4 linked regions of the Rhinolophus ferrumequinum genome follow. The protein of the gene in region 2 interacts with the protein of the main gene of each other region in a pairwise test. Links are inferred from orthologs where the notes say so. Each region holds a gene or a part of one and is shown on either strand. Other genes may lie near its edges.

Region 1 (7,648 bases), on a different chromosome or scaffold from region 2:
ATCCGCTCACTTTCCCGCCGCGGTGCTTTGTTCCAGGACTTGGGGGGCGGGGGGAACCGCAGAGAGTTACGGAAATGGGGCTCGTCCTAGGGAAGAACTGCACCAGCGCCCTGAGAAAGAACTCTGGGGGAAAGAGACTGGCATGTCAGTTTGTTGCTAAGATTTCCTTGGCCTTTTTTGTTTTGAATTTTAAAGTCAGAGGAGAAATACTATCTTAAAACTCTTTTAGGGGGCGGGGAGTGGTAGATGAGGGTAAAGAGATCAAATATATGGTGATGGAAGGAGAACTGACTCTGGGTTGTGAACATACAACATGATATATAAATGGTGTATTATAGAATTATACACCTGAAACCTATGTAACTTGACTAACAATTGTCACCCCAATAAACTTTAATTTTAAAAGAACGGTTTTACAGCCAGTGCTGCTCTCATTTTACCTTGGAAGGTAGGAGTTTTTTCTTTTCCTTTACACAGAAGGCAAACAGGGTCTGCAGGCCGCCACTCCGCTCCTCTTCCAAAATGGTGTGGGGACCTGACCCACGCCCTCCTGCTACCTGCGGGGACGAGCTTGTTCTTTTGCACATGGCCACTGCCTCCAAATCCCAGATCTGAGGGGGGAATCCGCAGGTCGGCCGAAAGGCGGAGGCCGCGGGGGCATCTGGGGCTCGTGGCCAGAATGGGGAGTGAGCGACTGGGTGGGGGTCTTCAGGGGATGCGGACCTGGACCCCAGCCCAGTGGGGAGCGCTCCGAAGCGCTTTTCCATTCCCTCCCTTCGAAAGCGTGGAGTTAAGGTCGCCGCTCAGTGGGCCCAATGCAGGAGCGACATCCCTACCCCACCCCCAAAAGTTGGGAGCGGGCACAGCCTGTGTTCGGGCTGGGTCTGATGAATCTGCACCAATGGGAGCGCTTTCTCGGGCGTGAACCACTGGCTTCGAAAGTTCGAGAATCTGAAGGACTGAGAAGCAGCATCTGCTGAGGCTGCACAGGGCCGACGGGGTTGCAGCCCGTTCCCCGCCCTTGTTTGCTCCAAAAGACCTAGGCCTCTGGAGATCCTCGGGCTGCCCACTGCCAAAATGGTATGAAGACATGACCTCCCAGGACCTTATTTCAGCTCAGCCGCGTCCCCCGGGACCGCCAAACGCAGGTTCAGGCGTCCCGGCCTCACGTGGCCTCTGCGCCGCGCCCCAGAGAGCGGCTTCAGGGATGCATGGGGGTTGTGGGTGCGCATGAATTAATTGAGGGAGAACAAGGGCATTATTGTCACCTCAAGAAATCGATTGCTAGTTGCCCCACCGCATCACTAGACATTTGTTCCCCGCTTTTCAATTTGAAGCCAAAGAGCGATGCCTAGAGGCACGGACAGCGTGAGAGCTGAGAAATTCGTAGGCCGGGAGACAGGGCTGGTTTTCCTGCATTCAAAGGACTTTCTGCACGCCCCTGGTTTCCAGCGTCACCGTGGTCGCGATTAAAACGACAAAATAGGAACTCTGACCTCCCCCTCCATGAGATTTCAGCAAAGCCGAAAATTGCCTGATTTATTATACAGCCGGGACAATGTGAAACTGTCTTTTTGTTTCTCGAGGCGAGAAGCCGCTACTACTAGGACTCCCAGATTTGGAGTCAGAACAAGCTCCATTTCTCCGCAAGGATACCTGCATTCCGCGAGCTTTTAGATATACACACACCATGGGATTGAGTGCCGGCCAAGAGAAAGAGAACCACATATGCACATTATCTTTCAGCCTTTCGCTGTTAATACCTGTCACAGTTCTACCCAGTTAATTGTGGTTAGAAAGCACACATGCACATACCCCACCCTGAGCAGAACACGAGTGGGTCCAGTCTAGTGAGGTTACATTTATTTGTGATCCTTCCCCCTCCCTTTCCAAGGTCTTTGATGATTTTTCCCATAAGTGTAAGCTGCCGGGACTTAGTAGAAGCAGGCCGCTCCTTCTAAATGTGATTCGGACCATATGCTTTCCACATTCATCCCCGCTTCAGCTTTTCTTCTCTGCACTAACTGCTAACACGTTATAGTCACCTTGAAATTTCCTCTGCTATTTTCCAATTAAAGGCTTAATAGCCCTGGAAACGGAGTTCATGTGGTGAAGTTTACCATAGCCCCTTGTTCTAAAAGGCTTTCTGCTGGGATCCCATTATGTGCTTGAATAAACCCTTTCTGCAAACAGAAATGGGACTCGGGATTGTCAGGTGTTGGGTTACAATAGACTTTGAGGCAGGGGACATTTTACCAACATAAATACAAACCTGTCCCTATAGGGGGATGTTGTCAAATACTGGGATATGGAAAACATTCCCATCAAATATGAGAAGAGGATTATTGCTCTATATGAAATGAGTATTTCGATCTCGGACCCCGATGTGCACTGGAGTGAAACGGTGCCCCAGGACCAAAAAATGCCAGACTGTTTGAGTAGCAAAGGGATAGGGTGGCTAGGTGACCGAGGGAGGAAAGGGGGTCGTCTTGCTAGTGGGAATACCACCGCCCTCCAAACCCGGGGCAGAGCTTTTCTGCTTTTCTTTTAAAAAAAAAAATGCTTTACTCCCATGATTTTTATACTCCTGGTTTCTCTGACCATTTGGACAAAATCAGGAGAAATGTGGCTTTCAAACAAATCCATGGTCCTCGCGTTCCCAAGAGACCCGGAAGTTTCAGCGCGAACGTTCCCAGATTCAATGTCATTCTAGGCCCTGTCTCTGTCACGTGAAGCGACTCGCTGCCAACTCCCCACTTCTCGGCCTCTGTCCCACCGGGCTGCGGGTGACCTCTGCCTCCAGTCCCGAGAGTTTATGAAGTTCCTTCCGGTTGTAGTGTTTTTGGGCTTCCTTTCCTAGCGAAGACTGGGAGGAGAGGAGGGATTGAGGTGATGGTGTTGGGGGTGGGTAGGAAGGGGAAAAAGACTGAGGGGTCCGTGCCACCACGGTTTTGAGGGGAGGCCTCTCAGGGTTAGCATTCGTGCAAGTGTACCTGTTCATCTCCACCAGAGCAGCATCCAGCGATTCCCAACCCCCGGACAGCTCTGAACCCGGGGCCGGGGCGGCTAAGGGCTTCAGGGGAAACGCACACACCTGCCCTTTTTATCCCTCTTCCCCTCCCAGAATCACCCTTCTAGGAGGAGGGTTGGCTGCTAGAATGCCTGGAGGTGCTTTACTTGAATTCACAACAAACACAGAAGGACGTTTTCAGGTTGCTTGTTTGCTTCAAGGCAGAGAAAAGCGACCTCCCTGAGGTGACAAGGTCCGCTATACGGCCGAAAGGTTGGCTATTGCAGCGGAGTCAACTACGCTCTCGTTTCGTATTCGATTCGCCCAGAAATGAGCTCAGTGTCTGCTCTCAAGAGCATGCGGACCCAGCTCCGGGACTGGCATCTCCCCCTCTTCGCAGTGAGCAGTTGTATTGCCCTGCGCCGCTGTACCCTCCAGTGTTTTGTTTTTGTTTTCTTGGATTGAGAGGTGGGGTGGAGGTTAGTCGTCCCTGTGCGTTTGCGGCGCTAGTCTGCATTAGGCCAAACCGGTACTCTATGAAATTAGAAACGCGCAAATAACAGTTTAAACAAAGTTTGATGCTGTCATCTTATGCAAGCCCCCCCCCAAAGACAATGCGGTGACAGAAGAATGACTCCATCCCTTATCTATTACTAAGTGCCTGAGTCCGTGGAGATTTGAATTGGGTGACACGAGACATCGGTTTGATGGTTCAGTGGCTGTTGGACAGAGGGGAGATCATAGCCAGTAACTTTTGGGGCGCTATCGTCGCTTCCTCGTCCACTCTAAAAATTTAGACCCAGCACTTAACGCAAATCCTCCACACCAGCGCTTCCCCCTCCTTTCAAGACTGAGACTGTTTTTTTTTTTTTTTACTAAAACATGGGGAGGAGAATAAAGAGATTAAACTCAGAGCGGAAGAGGGAGGACTGTGCCTGCAAACTGGGTTGTCATTCTTGGGCTAGCAGGTTTTCAAAAACATTCATTTTCTTCGGCAGGAGTAAGATTTTTTTTTTTAATGTTGCAAAAGGAAATCAAGAAAGAGCCCAAATTTCCTGAACCAATTCCACTACTCTACTCCCAGTGGCCTCAGGGCCTGACTCGCCCCAACTTAAAACCCTCTGGACTCATGCCGGGTCCCGAGTACATCCGCAACGCTGCGGAAGGCTTCGGTTCTCGCGGAGCCGCGTTTCTGCGGCCAAGTGCTGGGATAAAAGCAGCCTCGGGCTCGGTGCCGCCAAATCAGGCCTGGTGGGAGGAGAAGGGATCGAAGGGGAGCCGGCAGCTCACTCGCCTATAGGCACCCCCACCCTCACCCCGCTGACCCTCCCCTTCTCTGCCTGGAGTGCATCACTGCGTCCCAGAGCGCTGCAGTCCCTCCCGCCAGGGGCAGGGGAAGCGCAGAGAGCTTGGAGGAGGGGGCCGTGAGCGCCCCCGCGAGAGCTGCCTGGCTGCAGGTGGCAAGGTGATGTGTAGGCACTCGAGGGGCGCAAGGAAGGAGGAAAGCGTGGGGTGGAGTGGGGAGTGCAAGGAGTCCGGGACCCCGGGGGTGGGGGTGACACTGGGAGGGAGGAGCAGTGGGGGGAGGGCGGTGGAGGAGGTGCTGGGCCCGGGCAGCGAGCGCGGGAGCTGCAGACGAGCTGGCTCAGACCTTAACCAGAGTTCTCGCCGGCTCCTTGTAGCCGCCGGAGCGCCTCGGCGAGGGAGGACGTGCGGGCTAAAGCCTCCGCTGGAAGAGACGCGACCCGCGTGGGACTGGCGGAGTACCAGCGGGAGGCTGAGGCTGCGAACGCCACGGAAGCCATAAAGACGGCTGCTGCACCACCGGCCGTCCCGGAACGCACGCGGCCTCCAGGGCTGCGTGACCAAGGACCGCGCCCCGGGGAGGCCTCCCGGGAGCGGGCTTCCCAGTCCCGCAGTTCAGCGTCCCGTGGCCCGCTCGCGCCGCCAGCCCGCCAGCTCTTCCGGGAGCCTGGGGCATGAACGGCTACGGCTCCCCCTATCTGTACATGGGCGGCCCGGTGTCGCAGCCGCCGCGGGCGCCCCTGCAACGCACGCCCAAGTGCGCGCGCTGCCGCAACCACGGTGTGCTGTCTTGGCTGAAGGGCCACAAGCGCTACTGCCGCTTCAAGGACTGCACCTGTGAGAAGTGCATCCTCATCATCGAGCGTCAGCGAGTCATGGCGGCGCAGGTGGCGCTGCGCCGGCAGCAGGCCAACGAGAGCCTGGAGAGTCTCATCCCCGACTCTCTGCGCGCCCTGCCGGGACCCCCGCCGTCGGGGGACGCCGCCGCCGCCCCGCAGCAGCCCCAGACCTCGCAGCCATCTCAGCCGCCGCCGCCGCGCCCCGCCGCCGAGTTGGCTGCCGCCGCCGCGCTACGCTGGGCCGCCGAGCCCCAGCCCGGGGCGCTGCAGGCACCGCTCGCCAAGCCAGGTAAGAGCATCTGCGGGGCGGGAGCCGGGCCCGGCGTTAGGGGGAAAACACTTCGGAGCTCCTGCGGCGGCTCTGCCTGGGAGGCCCGGAGGCAAGTTTGAGGAAGTGGGCCGGGCCGGGCCTTCCTCCCCAAACCCCGCCAAGCTGGTTCTTACTCTCCGTGCAGAAGCCGGCCTTCAGCCTGGATCCAGCAGGTAGAACCAGGCGCCCGCAGGAAAGATTCCGTGGGCAAGCCAAACGGCAGGACTGTGCGACTGGCCTGCCAACTGTCACCACTAGTTTAAAGGGGAACGTGGCCGTTTCAGTGGGAAAGTAAAGAGGTCGAAACAAGACCATATTAAAAATCCACGCGGGCATACACACAACGGTGCGGCAGGATTTTCCTGGCTACGAACTTCTAGGGAACCTTGCATTTGGAGATAGGGACAGGTAGATGCAGGGACAGAGCCAAGGCCCAAGACTTGGCTGACTGCTAGCTGGGCGTGCTTCTCGGCCCTGGGGGAACTGGAGCGAACCCGAAGCCTGCGTAGTAGTGCGCACTGTGGCCTTCAGCCTCTTGTAATTTGTTGAAAGAAGGCTCATTTAGAAGCAATGCTAAGAAGGGCCAGAAAGACTTCTAAACTTATAGCGAGGACCCAGAATCTAGAGAGCCCAGAGTCAACTCCTTTTGCAAAACTGCTCAGGTCCTTTAACACCTTTACTGGGTCCGCCCTCAGTTGTCTCTGTGGTTTAAAGAAACAAACAACACTTGATCTATAGCGAGGAAGGCCACCTCTGGCTAGCCCTTTCCCGATTCTAGGTAAGCCTGGGCCTCCAGCTGCTAAACCTCAGATTTGGAGCAAAGGCTCTCTGGTCCTCTTGCCTCAACTCTCCTCTTCTCCGCTGCCCTGCTTTGTAGAGGGTGGACTGCCCTGAGCCCTGAAGGTGGGCAGATTCCCTCACCCCCAACTCCTGCTGCCATCCCTTTCCCTCCTTCAGGCCTCTGGAGTCTGCAGACCCCAGTTGAGTCTTTCTCCTCAGGAATCTCTAGCTTGTCCTGCCCAGCCCAAGTGCTCCTTTAATTTTAGGCTCTTGGAATTCAATGGACATGTGTTTGGTGTTTCCCTTTCATTGTGGCAAATGTACAAAAGAAAAAAGCCCATCTTCTCAGGGAGGGGGTTAAAGGGTATGCTGGAAGTCTGAGAGCGAAAGCCCTGGAAGGCCCAGAGCCCTGTATGTAGAACTGTGGTAGAGCTTCTGTCTATATCTCCCACTCTCACACACGTCCAAGGAGATTGTGGGGGTCTGCGAATGCTTCTGGCTTCTGGAGAGAAGCTTTCAGGAACAGTGAACTGCTGTGTGGAGCTGGGGAAGTGCAGACTCACTGGTTTAGTGGTGATTTGATAGGCAGCTTGGCAGGCACAGTTTTGCTGCCCTGTTGCTCAGTTATACTTTCCAGGCCAGAAGCTCTTAGAACGTCTTATGTGAAGAGCAGAACTGGGTATTGTAAGGACAGAAGAGAATTTGCTGAACATGGATGTTGTGGATATTTAATCCAATATAGGATATAAGCATTTCTCTGGTAATGTCCCCCACCCCAGTTGTCTCTTTTCTGTCAGTCTGATCTCTTCATATTTGTAGATTAGCCACAGAGGAATAGGAGGAGGGAAGAGAAAGAAGGCCTAGTTTACTTTTCTTCTTTAGGTTAGAGAGAGTTTTGTCTCAGTTCTAGAAGCTGATCCCTGCTAGTAATTTTTCTTAACCTTTCTGTTTCCAGTTTCCCTATCTCCATTTCCTCAGCACTAGAGCAGGGATCTGAATTTGTCAGTGGTAGCATTTTGCAGTGGCCACCTGCCCAGCAGCACTCCTGTAATAGGGCTTTGGATTTTGGGATCCTAGTCTTAAGAGAGGATTCCTTCCACATCCTGTGCTCTTCAAACCATTCTTCTGGGTAGCCAAAATTCATGGCTTCTAAAGAGTCACAAAACCAAAAACAATCCTGGGAGGGGGTAGTGAGGGCAGGAAGAAAGGTGGAGCTGCAGCTGCAGCAGCAGGAGGATACAGCGTTTGGGAGAATGAACGAGGGAGACTGATTTCACCTGGACAAATCAGACCTGATGCTCTCTCTTTTACTCTAAGTATTCAGGGATAGATAGCCGGATCCCTCCAAATTGAAAAGAAGTAATTGCAAAGGAGAATAGGATTTACTGTGTTTCCCCGAAAATA
Region 2 (6,845 bases):
TCTTTACAGTGGAAGCATGGGGGGCCGGCTGCAGGAAAGCTGGACTTGCTGGGTCTCAAAGGGGACCCAGATGGCAGACCTGCCAATGGATTTTATTGGTCTTGTACAATGTTTTAAAAAATTGAGTCTACATTTTGAAATTACATGACTTCACATGAGAAGCGTAGATTTCTGACTCTCTTGAAATAACTGGGCTCATATTCACACAAAGCAGCGGAGGCATGTCCCCTCTCTAACCGCTCTGGCCTCTTTCCATTAGGTCCCTGTAGTAGGTTGAACAGTGTCCCCTCTCCAAATTCATGTCTACCTGAAACCTCAGGATGTGACCTTGTTTGGAAATGGGGTCTTTGCAGATGTCATTAGTTAAGATGAAGTCATTCTCGATTAGGGTGGGCCTAATCCAGTGACTGGTGTCCTTATAAGAAAAGGAGAGGACACAGAGAGACACAGGGGAGAAGGCCATGTGTCACAAGCCAAGCCAGCAATGCCAAGGATCACCGGCCCCCACCAGAAGCCAGGAGAGAGGCATGGGATGGATTCTCCCTCAGAAACTCGAGAAGGAATCAACTTTGCCGACACCTTGACTTCAGACTTCTGGCCTCCAGACCTGGGGGAGAATCAGTTTTTGTTGTCTGAAGCCCCTCAGCCTGTTGCAATTTCTTACCACAGCTCCAGAACACCCCGTCGCCGCTTCCCTTCTTTGCCTGGCCCACCACTGAGGAATTTTGAGTGTGATACCCTGAAGAGCTGCACATGACTCACTTCCTCCAAAACCCTTCCTCGGAATCCTGCTCCCCTTTTCTGCACTGAGGACTTGGCCTGCCCAGCCAGGGCCTCCTCCTGGCTCCAGGCATCGGCTGACCGCCCCAGCCAGGCCAGCAGCTCCATCCAGAGGGCAGTGGAGAGAGCCAGTAAGTGCATAGTCAGAGCGCTCAGGCTGATGCAGTCTGCACCCCAGCCCCCTACATTGGGCTAGCCTGTGGTTCTGCTATGGCCCCCAAAGAGAAAAAAAATGGAAAGGGGAGGGTTTGGGGATCCAGTATGACCTGACAGCATCACTTCTTGGATGTGCCCTGCAACAGGAGTGCGCCCCGACTCCTGCTCCCCCATTCTCCTCTCACTTGTTTAGGGCGACTCTGCTTTCTTATCAGAAGGCAGTGGGGATTCATCTGGAAGAATGGGTTTCCACCCTGGCCGGTGTTCTTGCCATAGCCTGTGGCAGTAAAACAAATGTGCCCAGGCCTCACCTTAGGTACCAAATCAAGAAATAAAGACGCTGTTTTGTTACGTTCTGCAGGCGATTCGGCCATGAGTCTGGGCTGAGAACCACTAGGCTGTAGGGGAGGGTCTTGGTTTACCTTCATCGGAAGTAGATTCTGAGTCAAGGATGCACGTGCCAGTAGTTTATTTCGGAGGTGACCCCAGGTACATGAACCGGGGAGGGGAATGAGGCAGGGAGGAAAGGAAGCCAACATGGGGTGCCTTACAGAGCCGGTCCCCACCGTGGGCAGCTGGAGCTCAGTCTTGCTGGAGGACTCTGGGAGCCAGTGTGGAACATGCGAGAGCATCCCACCTGAAGGAGAGGGAGATGGGATCTATCCACTCGGGCCGCTTCCAAGTGCATTCATTCCCTGGCACTTCTGTCTTACCCCTGTGTGTTCAAGCATATTCCCACAACCAGAAAAATAAGCCTCAGGGACTGTCACATGTGTTCTCTGTCATCTGCCTTTTGGCACGTGGAGGTGAAGATCCAGGGAACAGGGCAGGCACCAACAGCATCTGCTACAGGTAGACAAAAACAAGACAAATCACCAGCACCGTGCCGAGGGCTCGTAGGTGCAGGCAACAGGCAACTTACCTGCATTAACAGGTTCAGTCCCCACCACAGCCCCTCGAGGCAGGCTATAAATAGCCTGACTTACAGCTGAGGAAACTGAGGCATGGAGACGTTCTACCCAAGGTTGCATGACGCAGGGAGTCACAATTTTTCTCCTGATAGCTATAGCACAATGGAAAGCAAGCAAGGGCGTTTACACTGCACTTACAGCAGACGAGAGGCTGACTCTGAAAAGAAGAGGCAGCTGGGTGACCGAGCTCGGAAAGTAGCTTTCACTGTCCTCCTACGCCTGCCTGCCTGGCCTGAGCTTACTGTCACATAGCAGCAGTCATTCTCCCCCTGCCCACCTCAAAGCCCACATCCAAGATTGCAAGGCCCAGAGGGAGTGGGGAGTATTCTCTCCCCCCTTCTGAATTCTGGCTTCGGGCTGCCGGAAGGCCACCTCCCCAGATGAGCCGCACTGGACATGGCCATGCCTTTGGGGGAGACCCATCTTCCATACCACCCCCCCCCTTTGACCTAAAATGCCAACCAGGTGAAAATGCAACCTCCTGAGCTTACATGAGAGACATACACAATTGGAAGGGTCGTTTCATCCCTTCCTGTAAATGCGGCTTTCGCTTTGACATCCCAGAATTAAATTACCGCTGGAGTGTATGACACATGTAGGCACCCAGGCACGAGGAATGATTGGCAGAGACCCCTGCCCTCCCGATATCTCCTTGGTCAGCCTGCCGTGATGCTCACATTTCCGGCCACCGTTCCTCACTCTTTCCCACGAAGGTACGGTCAGCATGTCCTTGTTCAATGCAAATTTGTTACCTAGCTCCAGTAACATATTAATCCGCCAACACCAATTCATCATCAGTTTTCACATTAGCAAAGAGTAAGGCAATGAGATAATGGAACCTGGGACAGGTGAATTTTGATGAAGAAGGAGCAGGAAAAGCAAGAGCATGAGTCATTGCTGGTGAGAAATGGCTCAGAAGGGGGGTTGGGAGGTGGGCTAGGAGGGCAGCAAAAGGGCTGGGGGCGGAGGGCTGGTTGGATGGGACCAGGGCCAATTGGAGCGGAATAAAGGTTTTTCTGCTCTCCTAAGCCAGGCTGCGGAATCAGCCTGGGATGGAGAGACCTTCAGGCTCATCCATGTCATTTTACACATGGCCCAAGTCCTTGGGATTTTCCCAGCGTGGGGCTCCATGTCTACACCTGGCCAATGGTCAGGTCTGGCAAGTGTCGTTGCCTGGGGCTTCCTCAAATCCAGGCCTGGCCGCCATCTCTCTGGGCTCACCCATCTCTGCAATCGCAAAGCAAACCCGTCTCCGAAGTCAAGAAGTACAGGGAGGGGGTGGGAGGAGGGCATGTAAATGCTTTATAGAGTTGGAAGGAGCCTTAGCGAACTTCTGTCACCCTCATTTCATAGTGGAGAAACCGAGGCCAGGGAGTCCTCGTGACTTGCACCCGTCACCCGCTGGTTATTGGAGGATCTGAGGCTGGAACTCAGGCCCACACAGTGTCCTCCTCTTCTGGGCTCAGCGGAAGAAACTGAGCACCACAGGTTGAGTTTGAATTCAGATCAGCAAGCAGAGGGGAGCCACAGCAGTTTCTGATCAAAGAGGGGAAAAGGATGGGTGAGGATTGCAAAGCGAAATCAGAGCGGGTGTGAGGGGCGGGTGCAGAAGCCCAGCACGTCGACAGAGGCAGCAGCTGGAGGGAGGGCCCTGGCACTGGTCGGGAAGAAGGGGTGTCTCTTCCTAGCGCTGACCTCTGTGCTCGGCAGGACCCCAAGCAGCCCTCGGCCCTCGAGGCTGGTGGCGTCCGGGATATTTCCGAAAGCGGGGACCGGGGAAGTTGCACCGCTGGGGGGAGGCGTAGGGACTCCCGCCCTCCGGTCCCCAGCGCCCCACCCCGGGCCGGGAGGGTGCACTGCTGGGCCTCGGCCACGAGATGGCGCCGGTGCGCCGAGGAAGCGCGACAGCCTCTCCCGGGCCGCCCCAGCCGCGGCTCCGCCGCCTCCTCCGAGGAAACAATGCGGCGCCTCCCCGCGTAGCGCGGCGCGGGCAGGACGCCGGACACCCGAGCGCGGGCAGCCAAGCGAGCGGCGGGGCGGGCGCGGGGCGCCCTCGCCGAGAGCCATGGGCGCTGCGCGGCGCCGGGCCGAGGAGGTGCGCGGCCCAGAGGCTCAGGGGGCTGGGGCGCGGGCCCGGGGCCGCCGCTAGCCGGCACCGAGGGCGCGGGCCCGGGGATGAGGGCGCCCGCGGCGGGGATCCCGTCTGCGTGCCGCGGCGCCGTCCCGCCCAACGAGCGAGCCCGAGCAGACAGACGCGCGGCCGGCGGTCTGGGGGCGCGCCGCCTCCCGGCCCCCAAAATGTGAAGCGGTGAATGCGGAGACGCAGAGACGGCCCGGCCGGGCGCCCTCGCCGCCCTCCGGCAGCCGCGCTGCTCCCCTTCCCCTGCCCCCCGAGGCCGCGTCGACCCCGCGGGCCTCCGCCAGAGTAGCGAAGCCGCCGAGCCTCCGTGCCTCCCGCCTCGCTCCCACCGGGTTTCCACCCGCAGCGGGCTCGTGGCCCGGACGCGGCGGGAGAAGCGCCCGGGACAGTGCGTCCGGCCTCGTCCGTGGCTCCTCGCCCAGACAAGTTTGAACAATGATCACAGTCAACCCCGATGGGAAGATAATGGTCAGAAGATGCCTGGTCACCCTGAGACCCTTTCGGTAAAGTTCTCTCTGGGTTGGCGCGGGGAGGTCTTTTTCCCCGAGGGGGCGCGGGGTGGAGGTGCGCGAGGTCTGTTCTGGCGAGGGTGCATGCCCGGTGGCAGAGAGGGCAGTTTGTGCTTCCACCCGTGGTGAAGCCGGTGGGCTGGGGAAGGAATGGCTGGGGTTCGGGTTCATGTGGGGAAGGGTGTGTAATTCTGGGACGTGTCCAGAGTTGGTCTAGGTTGGAGAGGACTCCCGGTGCAAGGTGGGAATGCGGGCAGGAAGCGCCCAGGGGTGATCCTGGGCTCGGGAAGTCTCCTAGCCAGGACGCCCCTTCCCTGCCCCTCGGGGTCCTTCCCCAACTCGCCGACTGCCCCACCCCGGCGGCAAAGTTAGCGCGCAGTATCGGGCTGCACCCCCACCCCGCCGGCCCGTCGAACCCGGGTCGGCCCGCCCACCCCCTCTGCCTGTGCCACCGCCCCCTGCGCCTTCGTCGTGCGCTGCCCTTCTCGTGGCGGTGTGCGGGCCTTTCTCCAACGAGAGGGTCCCCGAGATTGGGGCAAGGAACCCCACTGCTGGGGATTCGACACCCGTTCGCGGGCGGTGGAGAGGCGGGGCCAGGGGCGGCGCTGCGGGCAGAAGGGCTAAGGGAGCCCGGACCGCGGCGGGAGCGTGGAAGCAGGATGGAGGCCAGGAGCGGTCCCTCTACCCCCCCAACCTCTGGTGGCCAAGGCCAGGAAGGGCCTCGCGCGGGGCAGGACAGGCTCTGCTGATCCCAACCCATGGGGCCGGAGAGCCCGCCGGTCCCCGGGCAGCTCCCTCCTCTCCTAAGAGCCGGTGGAACCCGGCCTACGGTCGGGATTGGGCAGAGGGCGCTAAGCGATGGGTGTCCAGCGGGTTCAGAGTGCTACCTCGCCCGGGGAGTGGGGGCGGAAGGACGCTGGGGGGGCCAGGGTGGGGGCCGCACTCCGGACGTGGGCCTCACTCCGTTGCGGCCACAGGTGAAGGTCTAGGGCGCAGGTAGGAGCCCGCGAGAGCAGAGACTGGGCAGGCGGAGGCGCTCGAAGCCTGGGCAGTGGGGGGGGCCGAATTTGAGCCCCGCCCCTCCATGCCTCGGGCTAGAGCCCCCGGCCCTCCCAGGGCTCCCGCTGTTCTCCCTTCAGTCTCTTGACTAGGAGACCGTGGCTCACGTTGCGACCGACCCCACAACACGTCCAGCCCCCTCCATCCGTCAGGCCAGTTGTGCGGGGCTGAGGAGACAGCCTTCAGGCACGACAGGGGTTATACTGGACCACCGCTGTCTGGAGGACGCGGGAGGACCATCGGGCTGGGGGGTCTCCTAGGGTAGGGCCTCGGGCTGGTGATTGGGAGGGTGTCAAGAGCCCCCGACTCAAGGTTCCCATGGGAAGCGGGCGTCTCTGGAAAGGGCCTCTCTCCTCCAGGAAATCCTCTAATCTCTAGCTGACTGGTACTGGTGAAAGGGTCCTTGCCCCGTCTCACCCACCCTGTGTCCAACCCGTTGACCAGGCCGCGGGAAGGCCAGCCGTGCTCAAGCTTTAGCCGGATGTTTCTTGGTGTAATTAGAAGAAGCTGGAGGACGCAAGCACCATGGACAGCGTCTGCTCCCAAGCGCTGCTTCCCTCTGGGGTTCTGTCCTGGTTCCTTCAGGCAAGAGCAGGATTCAGGGGTAGGATTGCACAGATTCCCCTCCTTCCAAGTTGTGTAACTTTGCCTCAGGGACTCCCTAGGCTTCCCAGAGACCCACAGCTGCCAGGGGAGTCTTTGTGTCCCCTTCAGACGGGGGTGTGGAGGGGACAGACCTCCAACCACATCACCTGTACTTGCAATCCTCAAGGGCAGGCTAGAATGATCCCAGGATTGAGGTCTGACAGAGACAGATGCAGAAGGGATATGCTGGGGGCTTCAGGTTCTGGGCTAGATCTTAGATGCCTTCTCTAAGTTCAACTCCATAGCTGGGGAAGTGGGTGGAGGAAGTGAGGGATGAGAAACTTGAGGGGTCTCTGCCGGTCCTCAGGCTGGGAAGACAAACAGCTGATTTCCTTAGGACCTTCTTGGGAGTGCGACCACCTCCTTTTTACACTGTCCCTCTGGCTGCTGTCCTGAGACAAGACTGTTTTAATCTTGGGGATCCCAGGCCCTGAGACCCACCCCTGGGGTTGCTAGAATTTGGTGAGGTGTCTTTGGGAGGTGAGGGAGCAGTGTCTCTTGTGCCATCTTGTCTGTTCTTTCCTTTTTTTTTTTTTTCCTCCTGTCCTTTCTGTCACCTCCTGAAGGAAGTGCCCAGTGCCCTCT
Region 3 (7,890 bases), on a different chromosome or scaffold from region 2:
AGGGAAGGTTACACTTTTCAGCAAAATGCCCTCTCTCAGCAGCAGGCTCCCAATGGACACAATGGCGACTCCCAAAGTTTCCCAGTTTCGCCTTTAACCAGCAATGAGAAAAATCTGAAACATTTTCAGCACCAGTCACCCACTGTTCCTAACTGCTTGTCAACAATGGGCCAGAACTGTGGCTCTGGCCTAAACAATGACAGTCCCGAGGCCCTCGAGGTCCCCTCTTTGCAGGACTTTAACGTTTTTTCCACAGATTCCTGCCTGCAGCTTTCAGATGCAGTCTCGCCCAGTTTGCCAGGTTCCCTCGACAGTCCCGTAGATATTTCAGCTGACAGCTTTGACTTTTTTACAGACACACTCACCACAATCGACCTGCAGCATCTGAATTACTAAAAACATTAAAGCAAAACAAAGCATCACAAAACAAAAACCCCTTTGACCAGGTGGTTTTGCCTTCTTTTATTCTGAGTTGATTTTTATTTTATTTTCTTCTTGACCTACTCTCTCCCTCCTCTAAATGTTGAAGATTTTCTGTTTAGTGATTCCCCTGACCCAGTTTCAGAGGCATCTTTTACAGATTATTTTGGAGTTTTAGTTGTTTGAAATCTAATCCAACAACCCTTTATGTGATTTACTGAAAGCAATATATGAGGCCTGCAAGAAAGTGATCATATAATTGTATCTTCACTTTCTTTTTATTTTTGTATTACATTAGTATGCATTGTCATGCGTATTTTTGGTAGAATAAATTCTCCTTTGCTATAAGTAGCTTTCTTATTTTTTTCTACCCCTCTTTCTCAAGGCTCCTAACGGTTTCTTTTTCTTCTTTTAGTCTAACTTGGTAAATAAAATTCTGGTCACAATTCATCTTCTTTTTCAATTTTAATATATTTATTAAGGGGGCATGTTCAAAATCTTCAATAGACAGCAACAAAAAAAGAAAGCCAGAAAATGGTTAGGGCTTTTGAAAAGTGTTTTTTTTTTTTTTAATTTAAGGGAATGGATTTGTTTTTTCAGTGTAGAGGTTCAAGCCATAGATTTAAATTGGTAATAGAAACAAGATTGGGAAGCCTCAGAGTTGGGCCAAGCCCAAGCTTTTGATAGTGGAGAAATAAAGTGCCTATAGAAACCCCCAACTCCAGGAAGAAGGAACGCGGAGTTTCTTTAACAAGCTACCAATCTCCAGGTCAATAACTAAGTTATCAAGAATTCATTTATTTATACACATTTGTTTCAAACATCTACATTCCGACCCCTCCCCCACAAATCCCCGAACATTTTCAGTGTGGTTGATTAGTTTCCCAGCTGCTGATGGCTCCAGGCAAACAGACCTAAAAGATAGAGAAAAACAAAAATAAAACAAAATGATGGTTACTGGCCGGAAAATGCACTTCAGAAAGGGTTCTTTCCAATCCTCTCGTTCAGTCATTCTAGGATTCTTTTTTTAAGGGTCAGAAAAATCAATATTTCATTCTTAAATCTGTTTACATGGCAAATAATGGATCATTAAAGCTTTGAAGTCAGGTTAGCAAGTTGAGATTTAAAATGGAGTATTTCTGCACCCTAGGTTATAAATTAATCCAGTTTCTAGAAAGAGAGATAAAGCACTTTAAATGATATATCAATAAAATGTGATCTAGGGTATATTACTGGGTTGTTCTGTTTTTTTTCCCCCCTCCTTATGTCTCCCCATATTTATTTTTCCCTTCCTGAGCTCTGTTCTGACGGCTACTTACCGTGAGAAAACGCAGCGTGTAAGCAACATGTGTGGGGGGCGGGTTGATTTAAGAACCCAGCTCTTAATAGCAAAGGCTTGGAAGTTACAATGAAATCATGGTCTTTCTCCAAGGGTTTGCTATCTACCTTCCCCCACCCTTTTACCCCCAAATCCCAGCAGCGGCGGAGGCGTGTGAGGACCCTGGCGGGTCTCCTGCCCCGGGCGCGGCGCGGAGCAGGGCGGCCCGGCAGCGGCCAGGGCTGAGCCGCTGTTTGCGATTCGTCCTACGCTCATAAATCAAACGCTTTCTATGAATGAGAATGTCATCAAAGAGATCAATTGCAGGAACACATGCACAAATAAAAATCCTCTTACGTATTTGCCGGGGATCCCCGTCCGAAAGCATTAAGTTAGAAGGCGTTTAGTCATAATTCATTTTTATTGCTCTTTTAAAACAACAGCTTGGCTGAGCCGCGTATGCCAGGAACAGCTCGCGGCCTCCGCAGCGGCGTTTTGTCTCCTCGCTCCTTCCTTCTCTAGTAGAAGAGCCCCGAAAGAGGCGGTTGGAGCCCAGCAAGCCGCTTGCAGGAGATCATTTAAATAGTGGCCAAGCTCGCTTTCCACCCACTCTCCCCGGGCGTTTAAAGGGGCTTTAGCTCGAGTCGTAGGGCGCTGGCCTACTTGCCCAGAGGACCGAGGGTCTCCTACCCGGCAGAATGAGCCCCAGGATTTCGTGGGGGTGGGGAGCTACGGAAGCCTGCGGGCTCGCGGCCAGGGAGGCTGCCTTTGTGAGCAGCACCGGGAGAGCAGCGCTCAGGGCGGCCAGCCGGGGCGGAGCGGACTCAGCTGCGAGAGCCGGGCCTGCGGGGAGAGGGGAGCACTGCGCTGAGGCGGGTGGGTAGCCAGTTCAAGTGCCTGCCTCTGTGCCCGTTCAAGCTTGTGATCCCAAGAAATACACCCACCCCTGCTGGCCCTGAAAAGAGCCCGGGAGGGAGGAAGAGAGGAGAGAAGAGGTCGAGAACTAGCAGAGGAAGGACAGCGGTTGTGGCGGGGGTGGCTTTGCGGCGCGAGCCTTGCGGCCTAGGACGTCGCGTAAACCCCGGGCGGTGGAGGCCAACAAAGGGGCAGGTATAAGGCAGGGGGGAGAACATACCGACGAGCTTCGGCTCGGATTGCAGATCGTGCGCAATGCCAGCAAGGACCCCCTCATGTCCTGCCTCCATCCCCATAGTAGCCCCTTCTCTCGCCGTCACTGAAGGCCTTTGCGCTCCCAAGGAAGCCGCCTCCAGGAGGGCCGCCTTGCCTTTTCCCTTCTCCAGGATGAAGTTCCCCAAGTGCTGAAATTGGGTCAGGAGTGAGCTTTCCTGCCTGTGCTCCCTCTTAACCGTGATTGGGGATGGGTCAAAAGTCACAGGAAAATAACTTTCCAAAAAGAAATGTTTAGGGAAAATGTTTCTTTGCCACTGAGGGAATCCACAGTCAAATGTCTGCAAGAGTTTTCCCTCTTGGGAGGACACGTTTTGAGGGAACTTCTGTATATGGAGAACAGAACTCAGAATACAATCCTTAGATAAATTTCATCTGTCTAATTCCGATGTGGTAAACATGGTCAGAGTAAAATCTAGACTGCATTGGCTGCGAAGCTTCCTGGATGATCTCTGGATTTCTACCTAAGAATGCTTCAATTCTCGGTCTCTGTTTGGCCTTTTCTCTCCACAAGCCAAGGGTTGACATGAAACCTAATAGTAAACAGCAATTAACGACCCCGTCAGAATCTGGGTAGGATGAGGGTGATGGAGAACAGGACCCCTGGCCTAGAATGACACTCAGATTTGCACGTGTCTCTCTAGGGAAAGATCTGAAGGTTCACACAAGGAACTACACAGTTACAAAAAGGAGGAGGTGTTGTGGGGGAAGAAGAAAATGTCCCGTCCACCATCGGCCATCTGTTCACCGCCCCTCCCACCTGCCAGCCCCCATCCCCAATTCAGATACGCAGTAGAATGGGGTGGTGGTGAATAAAGGAAGCTCTATCAACTCCTAACATTCTCCCTCCAGAAAACGAGAAACGTTGCGCGGGGGGTGTGGGGTGGGAGTTGAGCGTACTTTGTGGGAGCTGTAGTCTCGCCCTTTGAGGGCTCAGCCGCAGCGCGCCGGCTCCTGGGTCTTGGGGAGCCGGCAGATGGCCTGCAGCGCATGGCCCGGCCCCCACGCTGGCCACGTCCGCTAGCGTCATCTTTCTCCCCCGCCTCCTAACCCTCAAAATCTAGCGGCCGAGCTGCTCCGGATCCCATAGGGCTCCCAAAGCAAAGCTGAGTGGGGAGGAGAAAGGGGCGGAGAGCCAGGAGAGAGGGAGGGCGGAGAGCCCAGCGGCCCCGGCCTTTTCCGGCGAGCTCAGCTCCGAGGGTTCGGCCAGCTCCCGGGCGTCAAATTACCGAAGCTCCTCACACCCATGCTAATAGTCCGTGGGGGAGGTGGGGTGGAGGTTAGAAGTTTCGGAGACCCTCCTTGGAGAAGGGAAGTTTCTTTCTTGTCCACGTCTCCTCCACGCCCTCCCAGCCAGCCCTCTGCGCACTTCCTTTCCATTCCGAGTCTGGAAAGCTGGTGGCCCATCCTTAACCGAAGCCACCATGCTCTGTGCTCCTCACTGCCCCAAGGCACCACAGCAGGGAATGTGCAGTGAAAGCTCCGGGGGAGCTTGGGCTGCTGTGCCGGCCCGGTTCCTACCCTTCCTGCTCGGCGCGCTCCGATCTCCGGCCCACTGATTCCCGACCCAGGAGAGCACGGAGCTCTCTTCCCTTCTCACCTCTTGCCAGTTCATCTTTCTGAGCGCGGTGGGGAGGGGGCGGAGACGAGAAAGGGATGCTTCCCAGCCCCCACCTCGGGGGGGGGGAGGGCGAACGGAGTCGGCGCGCGGAAGGCAAGCCTCTGCTCCCCTTCGCCCCAGAGCTCGGAATCTGCCCTAGCAGCCGCCGCAGCTGCTGCCGCTGCCTGGGGGGGCGACTGCGCGTCACCTAGACTGAGGAGCGCCGGGGATTTAAATGCCACTGAAACGGTGATCCATCACTGCGGGAGCCAGCAAACTTTCGCAGGAGGCTCCGCCATTGGCTGACATAGTCACGTGCCCCTCCCGTAGCGCCCTCCACCCTCCCGCCCCCCCCTTGCGCACTGTACATTCATATCATTTTTCTTCTCCGGCCCCATGGAGGAAGTGAGAAAGTTGGCACGGTCACCCAGGACTTCGCAGGACCCGGTTACTCAGTGACAGATGGACAATGCAAAAATGAGCTCCTTCCTGGAATACCCCATCCTCAGCGGTGGCGACTCGGGGACCTGCTCAGCGCGAGCCTACCCTTCCGACCATGGAATTACAACTTTCCAGTCGTGCGCGGTCAGTGCCAACAGCTGTGGCGGCGACGACCGCTTCCTAGTGGGCAGGGGGGTGCAGATCAGCCCGCCCCACCACCACCACCACCACCACCACCATCACCCTCAGACGGCCACCTACCAGACTCCCGGGAACCTGGGGGTGTCCTACTCCCACTCGAGTTGTGGTCCAAGCTACGGCGCGCAGAACTTCGGTGCGCCTTACAGCCCTTACGCGTTAAATCAGGAAGCAGAAGTAAGTGGTGGGTACCCCTCGTGCGCTCCCGCTGTTTACTCTGGAAATCTCTCATCTCCCATGGTCCAGCATCACCACCACCAGGGTTATGCCGGGGGCGCGGTGGGCTCGCCTCAGTACATTCACCACTCATATGGACAAGAGCACCAGAGCCTGGCCCTGGCCACGTATAATAACTCCTTGTCCCCTCTCCACGCCAGCCACCAAGAAGCCTGTCGCTCCCCTGCATCAGAGACGTCTCCAGCGCAGACCTTTGACTGGATGAAAGTCAAAAGAAACCCTCCCAAAACAGGTCAGTCTTGCCATTCCATGATGTCCCTTGATGATTGTGGAAGGAGTTTGTATGCTTAGTGTCCAAGGGATATATATATATATATACACACATATATACACATATATATATACACACACATATATACATATATATACACACATATATACATATATACATATACATATATGTGTGTATATATATGTGTATATATATATATATATATAATTTTAAGTTCTTGCTACACACCAGTGTTGTAGGACGTGGGGAGATTGCCCTGGTGTGTTGGGGCAAAGGACCGTCTGGGACTGTTGTGTTTTCAAAGGGGCTGAGGATTAGAGGTTCTGGAAGTAGGAAGTGGGAAGTTGTGTGTGCTGGGGGAATTCTGTTAATATCTATAGGCTCCATTAATCACGGGTCTGACCACGCTAATGGCTGACTTCAGATTAACACTTTACACCTCATTACTCACCCTCCCCAGACTGGTGTGTGTTGTGAAATTCTTGATCTCCCTTTTACCTGAATATTGTTCTGAAACTGTAGGGGATCTCATACTGATTGTAAAAATTGTACCTTTTTCTCTGGTCGCTTCCCACCCTGTCCCTAGGGAAAGTTGGAGAGTATGGCTACGTGGGTCAACCCAATGCGGTGCGCACCAACTTCACCACCAAGCAGCTCACCGAGCTGGAGAAAGAGTTCCACTTTAACAAGTACCTGACGCGCGCCCGCAGGGTGGAAATTGCCGCGTCCCTGCAGCTCAATGAGACCCAGGTGAAGATTTGGTTCCAGAATCGCCGAATGAAGCAGAAGAAACGAGAGAAGGAGGGCCTCTTGCCCATCTCTCCCGCCACCCCGCCGGGAAGCGAAGAGAAGGCCGAGGAATCCTCAGAGAAGTCCAGCTCCTCGCCCTGCGTTCCTTCCCCGGGGTCTTCTACCTCAGACACCCTGACTCCCTCCCACTGAGGTCGGCCCAGCCCCAGACTCCTCAGCCCAGGCTCTTCCTGGGCTGGGACTTCTTACCCAAAGCACATTCTTAGCTTATCTTCCTTTCCATTTGCAGTCTCTCTCTTTCTGATCCTATCTGGGGAGCTCCTGGGCAGGATAATGTGTTTCCAGAGAATTCTTCACTTGATCTGGGGGGTGGGGTGGGGTGGAGGATGTTAACTCCTTAATGCAGATTGGGTGCCAGCATCACTTTTCTGATGGCTCCTAACACCCCTCCCTACTTTTAGGCAATTTCCGCGGAACCTTCTGTTCCTTTCAGATGCCCTTTGGAAAAGTCTCCTTTGCCAGCAGAAACATGTCAGAGAAAGGCCTCTCATCTTTTATCTATTTGTATATTTACAGTTCTCTCCTACTTTGACCTCAAAGAATGATAGAGAGAAAGGAGAGAGTCCAGGAGCTCATGAAGAAGAGATGCACTATGAGTGTGTTTACACGATTTGTTTTTTAATTTAATTCAGTTTCATGTGTGTGAGTTTGCTGGTTGTAAATACTTTGTTCTGAGAGATTTATCTTTATACAGATTTTTTTAGAAATGTTTAGATTAAGTGACTAAAACAGGGTGGGCAAACTCTCAAAGCTGGTACAATTTTATATGTGATTCTAGGTTAAAGAATAAAAGGCATCATTTCAACTCAATCAGTTGCCTCAGAGGGTAGCCTCAATTTATTCTTTTAGAGAGTTAAGAAAGCCTGCAGAACACAAGGTTCAGAAACCTTGTTTCCTGTGCTTAAGTCTCCCTTCATCCCCACCCCTTTCTTGTTTCTCTGGCCACACCACTCTATTTCAACTCTGTGCTGGATTATTCAGAACCTAAAGGTATTATTCAAATGAGCTTCTTCTTTCTACAGTTATCTTAGCTGGAACTGGTGTATTTTCAGCTCAATTGTTAATGTGATGGATGGCACAATGAATGTATATTTTGTGTGATTCGTGAATAGTCTTTTGCATGTCGCACAATGTTTTGATGTCCCTGAAGTACCACACTGAGTTCTATCAGTTATCCTCTGTGAGCCTATGATATTCCCCATTTCCTGTACAATCATGAGCAGCTCTGAGATCCTGGAGTGATGTGATCCAGAGCAGAGTTTACGGGTCTTAAGATGTCTGTAATAAATACATTCAAGTTTCAGATATGCTTAAGCATCCGTGTATTTGGCTTGGTTACTATTTGTTGGTTCCTACAAAGTTGGCTCATTTCATGTGGGGAAGGGGAGACAGGTGGTGTGCATTTTCAAGGAGGTGGGACTTCCCTTGAAAAAAAAGTAAGCGCTT
Region 4 (5,606 bases), on a different chromosome or scaffold from region 2:
TAGATGGTGGAAAAAGTATATAAAAGAGATTACTGACTTGGCTAAGTAAAGGTCAGTTTTTGTTTGATAAAGAAAACCTGTTATATTTTGTGAAAGCTATGATGTTAGTCAGCAAATATTTATTAAGAATCAACGAGGTTACCTCACATGTATTGAGAATAATGATCAGACCTATCGGAATAGGGATGTTATGAAGATTAAATCAGTTAATACGTATAAAACATGTAGTACTATGTTTGGTATATAATAAGGACTCAGTAAATAGTTGGTAATAAAGGTTTTATAATATAGTCAGGAAATAAGACACATACAGAAAGAATGTTTTGTTTGTAATGCAAAGGTGTGTGTGTGTGTGTGTTTGTGTGTGTTTGTGTGTGTGTGTGAATTAATAGTAATTATACAGATTTAAGTCTGGAAATATCTACGTTGGTAGAGGGTATTTATAAAGAAAGGGCTAATTAAGCTAAAGCCTACAAGATGGAAAAATTAAAGAATTGTTCCAGTTTTATATCCCACATATCAGTCAGATCATATGGTTCTCAACTTTTTCTGTCTAACTTATTTTACTTAGCATAACAATCTCAAGATCCATCTACATTGTCCCAAATTGCACTATTTCATGAACAAGACAATCAAAGAAACAAAAACTCATAGACAAAGACAATAGTTTAGTGGTTACCAGAGGGTAAGGTGGAAGAGGGGTGGCAGATGAGGGTAAAGGGGGTCAAATATATGGTGATGGAAGGAGCACTGACTCTGGGTGATGGACACACAATGTGATATATAGATGATGTATTACAGAATTGTACACTTGAAACCTGTGTAACTTTACTAACCATTGTCACTCCAATAAACTTTAATTTAAAAAAAAAAAAAAGAATTATTCCAAAGGAGACAAGGGTAAGATGAATGAAGAGATGTGAAATGAGCTAATTGGAGACATGAACAGAGAACCCAGCAAGACTGAAGATAATTTCTATTGGGAAGCAGAGGAGGATGAATCAAGTGTTTGGACAACTTTCTGTGGACAAAGGAGAGTCATCAGCATTTTTGAGTAAGAGAGCCATCTGATGAAATGAATTTTAGGAGCATTAACCTACATACGGTGTTTAGCCCACAGAGATGACAATAGCAATAGGTGTCAAGATGGCAGTGAGAAAGGCACGTGTTTACCAAAGGGGAACAGAACCCTACCTGAGTGATGGCGGTGAGAACAGAGCGGGGAAAAATGGATGACAAGACATATTAGTGGATCAAGTAAGAAAAGCATTACAAATAGATTTTCACTCCTTCCCATCTGTTGCAAGTTAATCACAGCACTCTCTTCTTGAAATCAGTTACTGGATCACCATGCTTAGAGAACAAAATCTTAACTACTGCCTTGATGATTGAATTAGATTCACCAGGTAAACCTAAGTTTCATTATTACAACTTACCTCTAAGAACATTTCACTAAAAGCACCGTGTAGTCATTTTTCCTGCCTTTACACGTTCTACCATAGTCTGAAGTGTCTTTCCTTTCCCCAACCCCCTGCTGTTTCCTACTAGCCTTCAAAATTAATACCAAATACCAATGTTTAGGCAAACCAATAAGCAATGTTTGCCATTCTCTGTACACCATTTATAGAATTTAGTGAACACTGACATGGATGGTGTATCTGTTTTAGCACATCTACAGAATTGGATGCATCTGGAAAAACACATTGATAGTGTCTTGGTATCATTGTCAGAATCTATCATAATGTTTTGCATAAATAAGGTTCTCAATAAATATTTGTTGACTGAATGAATGCAAGGTATGTCATTTATTGGCAAACTTTTATTGTTGCAATGCTCTGAGGATTCCTTGTGTCCAAGAGAGGAAGAAATTCAGGATTTTTCCTCTAGATTAGGAGAGGTAAGGATCCCTAGTTAACTGAAGTAAAAGCAACAAAGTGGATAAATCTGGAAGAGCCCACAGGATGCCCAGGTCCTCAGTCTATCTTTAGGCTCTTACATCAGAAGCAGAGCCTGGGACCTGTAGTTTATAGGAGACTGGTAATGAGGTACCTGCTGTGCTGCCCACGTGAGCTCTTCTTCCCCTTTAGTGATACAGTCACTATCGAAAGCATCAGTTCAACATTTGTTATATTAAGGGCACTGCATTTTCTAAAATTCTGTGGATATTTTTGCAGTGTTATCTACCCACAGTAGGAAAAAATAACTCTCATGGTGGTGCTGTAAAGGAATTAAACTGAGGTGGTACTCCTTGGAATGGGTGAAGGATGCCAAAGCGAGAAAATAAATTATGTAGGTACAGTATCTCACAGTTTACATTTAAGTTTTCCTTCCATCTAGATTTATTTTTTAAATGACACCACAAAGTAGTTATTAATACTCCCATGGTTCCATAAAATGATACTGATAGTGACTGGGGAATCAGAGCGATTGTGCAAATTGCTCTACTAGATGATGGTATCACTGTATGTCCATATGATGTCATACTGGATAATGGGAGAAAAACAACCTTTAGAGGGTGAAGGACCACCAAACAAAACCCCCTTTGTTTAAATGGTTTTTATTCATATCAATTATCGTAACTTTCTACATCTCAAGTTTTCTCATACAAATACTTGAAATAGTAAAATTTACTATAAAGAATGGTGCGAATAAAGTGATATTACAGATGTGGGTACCTACACTGCAAGGTGTTGCCCAGAGTAGACAATAAATGAATGCTAGTTTTATTCCACACCCATTCTCTTCATGCAGAAAAACCCATTTGTTTATGCATACAACATAAACACTACATACACACAAATATATTGATGTACTAAAGATGCAGGTGTTGGGCTCTTGATTATATTAGAGAAGAACGGGCATAAAGAGCATCAACACATAAATTTGGTAAGCATTCGGTTAAATATGGCTGCACCTATTACTGACACCATTCAGCGGCTGCATCCAGGATTTCACAAGATGCTAGCAATGTGTACAAAGGTACCAAGTGATGAAAACTGGAGGGATTGAGGGGATTCTTCAAGTGCTTGAGGTACAAATCATCACAGGGTAGTGTTCTCTGACTTAAAATACTGAGATAATCTCAATGTGTTAGTACAGGACCTATATAATTTTCATTTTCCTATTTCTGGTAGGAAAATAGTCCTATATTGGCTCATAGAGAAACCAACCTTGCATTTCAGAGATTCTACTCCTCCTGTACAGAGGGAGACCCAATAGGTGTGGGTGTATCCACTAAACATCAAAATATAACAAAGTGTTGTGACTTACATTGGATTTTAAAGGAAATTGGAAATTAGATAATAAAATTAGAAATTAGATAAACAGATAATGAAAATTCCCATTAATATAGTCACTGGAGCTGCTACATATGTTGGTATATGAACAAGGCAATGGAATGGTTGAGGCTAAACACAATCATGAATTTTTTAATCCAATTTTTACCAGAAAATATATACCCGAATAGCCGTCAAAGTGTTCATACTTAGACAAACTCTACATTTATTCTGATGTTATTACCCATGTAAAGCAGTTTAGAAGCTTCTCTCTGGAAACTGATATCAGGACCAATGTAAAAAACAAAACCAAATCCAAGTCCGTCTCTTAATCATTATGTCTCTCTCTCTCTTTTTTTTTTTTTTAATGAAAAACATTAGTTTTCAGTTGGGACACAAGTAACATGAATACATAATCCTATAATAGGTATAAAAAATGTAATTTTGTTCAATTGTCTTTAAGGGATTCTGTTGATTTGCTTTTGTTTACCATAGGATCCATAGATTTACCTGACCCCAGCTTGTTTATCTATACGTATTATGACAACTTTAAACATAAACCAGCTTTCAGCTTGACTCTTTATTTATTTATTGAGACGAATAAGAGGAGCATGACTTCTTTTAAATAAAGATATTTTGGTGGGAAGTCACTTTCTATCAGAATTCTAAAATAAAACAAAACACATCTGGACACATTGACATTTCCCATATTATACTACTTTCAAACTCTTTCTGCTCTAACCCACATTAGATATAGGATTTTTCACATTCTTTTACACATACTTCCTTTTAAGCTTCTTACTAGGATTCCTTCTCAAAGAGAAATAATTTGCCAGTGTTTCAAAGAAGTTTGCTACAACTTTTAAAGACATTTCCAAGAGAATAATTCTATGAATATTTATGCAGTGGGGCTTATAACAGGAATAAGTAAATGACCTCCAAAAGTGGCAATTTGGTTGGATAATTTGAGAGGGTGAGATCCTATTAAAATTCAGTCACACTGTGTTATTTACTTAATCAATGGAAGGCCTTGCAAGTAACCGCATTTTATAGGAGTTGAGAGCATCCACTTCCGGGTCATAATGAAGAGTTCTGATGCAGCCTCATGCAACTAGGAGGAAGAGAGTCTGTATACAGAAGCACCGTCTTCTGCAGATATATAAGGGATCAAGTCAGATGAGGAGCACAAAGAAACTTGAGACACATTTCTTTCCAATCAACCACAGCCTGCCCACAAAACCTCACTATGACTTGCCCCAACTCCTGCTCTGGAAACTACAACTTGGGATCCCTCAGAAATCCCTGTTATATTCCTCTCTCCTCTTCCAATGCCCTCTGCTCTACAAATGTGAGCCGTGAAGATGTCCTCTGCTTTCCCAGCAGGTATCAAGATGGTATCTGGCTCATGGACAATTGCCAAGAGACCTGCAGTGAACCAACCAGCTGCCAGTCACAAAACTGTGAGCCCAGCAACTGTGAAACTTCCTGCTGCTCTTCCACTGCTTACTATGGGCCCAGACCCTGCCAAGGAACGCGTTTTCTTCCTGCTGCTTCTTTCACCTCCAGCTCCTGCCTCCCAATATCCTGTCGACCTCTGAGCTCTATGTCCAACAGCTGTGGACCCCTGAGCCTCCTTACTTATGGATGCCGCCCCTTGGGGTGGATGCCCTGTGGTGCTCAGCCACTTAGTGTTGTGTCCAGCAGCCTCAGACCTCTGCATCCTCTCTTCAGTGGATGCCAACCTCTGACCCATGTGTTCAGCCCCTGTCGTCCATCTTGCTTTGCACTAGGAGGCCAGGAGCTTCCTTGTTCCAGCTAGCAATCGTGCTGAGGATCAAGGACAAAAATTCAATCTTTGGGGACTTCTGCTTCTTTCCTAGTAGTGAGTGACCGCCTTTTCATCTTTTCAGTGTGCCTGATCTAAGGCAAGCTGCCCCTTTCACGTTTTTCTCTCCCTTTTTTTTTCATTTTTCCTTGATGTGAAATTATTTGGTTTACGATGCTATTCATTGTCACTCAGGTGTGGGAAGAATTTATTTGGTTTGTGTTGTAATAAATGAGATTAAGCCAGAATTAAAAATCTGGGTCTTCAGTTTGTCTTTTATTATTCCATTTTAACACAGAAATGACCAACCTCAACTGCTTGCAAGATAAGTGAATAGGACATGGGCTACTGGACCACATATTCTTATCTGACAGTAGGGGAATAACTTTGATGGTTTATTCCTCAAGCTGCTTTCTAGATCTGTGATCCTATGTATTTGAGAGATCCAAAAGACCTTGGTTGAAGTTATTTTGAAAAGGCAAGATTAGGAATGCTGTCTTTATCTT

The links.
Region 1: the proteins of MGAT5B (region 2) and DMRT3 interact in a two-hybrid assay, tested with the Homo sapiens proteins (2 studies listed by BioGRID). The two-hybrid records come from large-scale screens. The link is inferred for Rhinolophus ferrumequinum from reciprocal best matches to the Homo sapiens genes MGAT5B and DMRT3.
Region 3: the proteins of MGAT5B (region 2) and HOXA1 interact in a two-hybrid assay, tested with the Homo sapiens proteins (2 studies listed by BioGRID). The two-hybrid records come from large-scale screens. The link is inferred for Rhinolophus ferrumequinum from reciprocal best matches to the Homo sapiens genes MGAT5B and HOXA1.
Region 4: the proteins of MGAT5B (region 2) and keratin-associated protein 26-1 interact in a two-hybrid assay, tested with the Homo sapiens proteins (3 studies listed by BioGRID and IntAct). The two-hybrid records come from large-scale screens. The link is inferred for Rhinolophus ferrumequinum from reciprocal best matches to the Homo sapiens genes MGAT5B and KRTAP26-1.

What each region holds. Positions count from the first base shown.
Region 1 is NC_046295.1:34,674,827-34,682,474, reverse strand, and holds the start of DMRT3 (doublesex- and mab-3-related transcription factor 3), read left to right. Parts: upstream 1-4,641; 5' UTR 4,642-4,989; coding exon 4,990-5,443; intron 5,444-7,648. UniProt on the Homo sapiens protein: Probable transcription factor that plays a role in configuring the spinal circuits controlling stride in vertebrates.
Region 2 is NC_046304.1:51,372,721-51,379,565, forward strand, and holds the start of MGAT5B (alpha-1,6-mannosylglycoprotein 6-beta-N-acetylglucosaminyltransferase B), read left to right. Parts: upstream 1-3,840; 5' UTR 3,841-4,482; coding exon 4,483-4,550; intron 4,551-6,845. UniProt on the Homo sapiens protein: Glycosyltransferase that acts on alpha-linked mannose of N-glycans and O-mannosyl glycans.
Region 3 is NC_046303.1:14,535,049-14,542,938, forward strand, and holds HOXA1 (homeobox protein Hox-A1), read left to right. Parts: upstream 1-4,884; 5' UTR 4,885-4,988; coding exon 4,989-5,634; intron 5,635-6,220; coding exon 6,221-6,576; 3' UTR 6,577-7,737; downstream 7,738-7,890. Other genes in the region: HOXA2 (homeobox protein Hox-A2), read left to right, coding at 1-396. UniProt on the Homo sapiens protein: Sequence-specific transcription factor. Regulates multiple developmental processes including brainstem, inner and outer ear, abducens nerve and cardiovascular development and morphogenesis as well as cognition and behavior.
Region 4 is NC_046285.1:96,858,458-96,864,063, reverse strand, and holds keratin-associated protein 26-1, read left to right. Parts: upstream 1-4,521; coding exon 4,522-5,094; downstream 5,095-5,606. UniProt on the Homo sapiens protein: In the hair cortex, hair keratin intermediate filaments are embedded in an interfilamentous matrix, consisting of hair keratin-associated proteins (KRTAP), which are essential for the formation of a rigid and resistant hair shaft through their extensive disulfide bond cross-linking with abundant cysteine residues of hair keratins.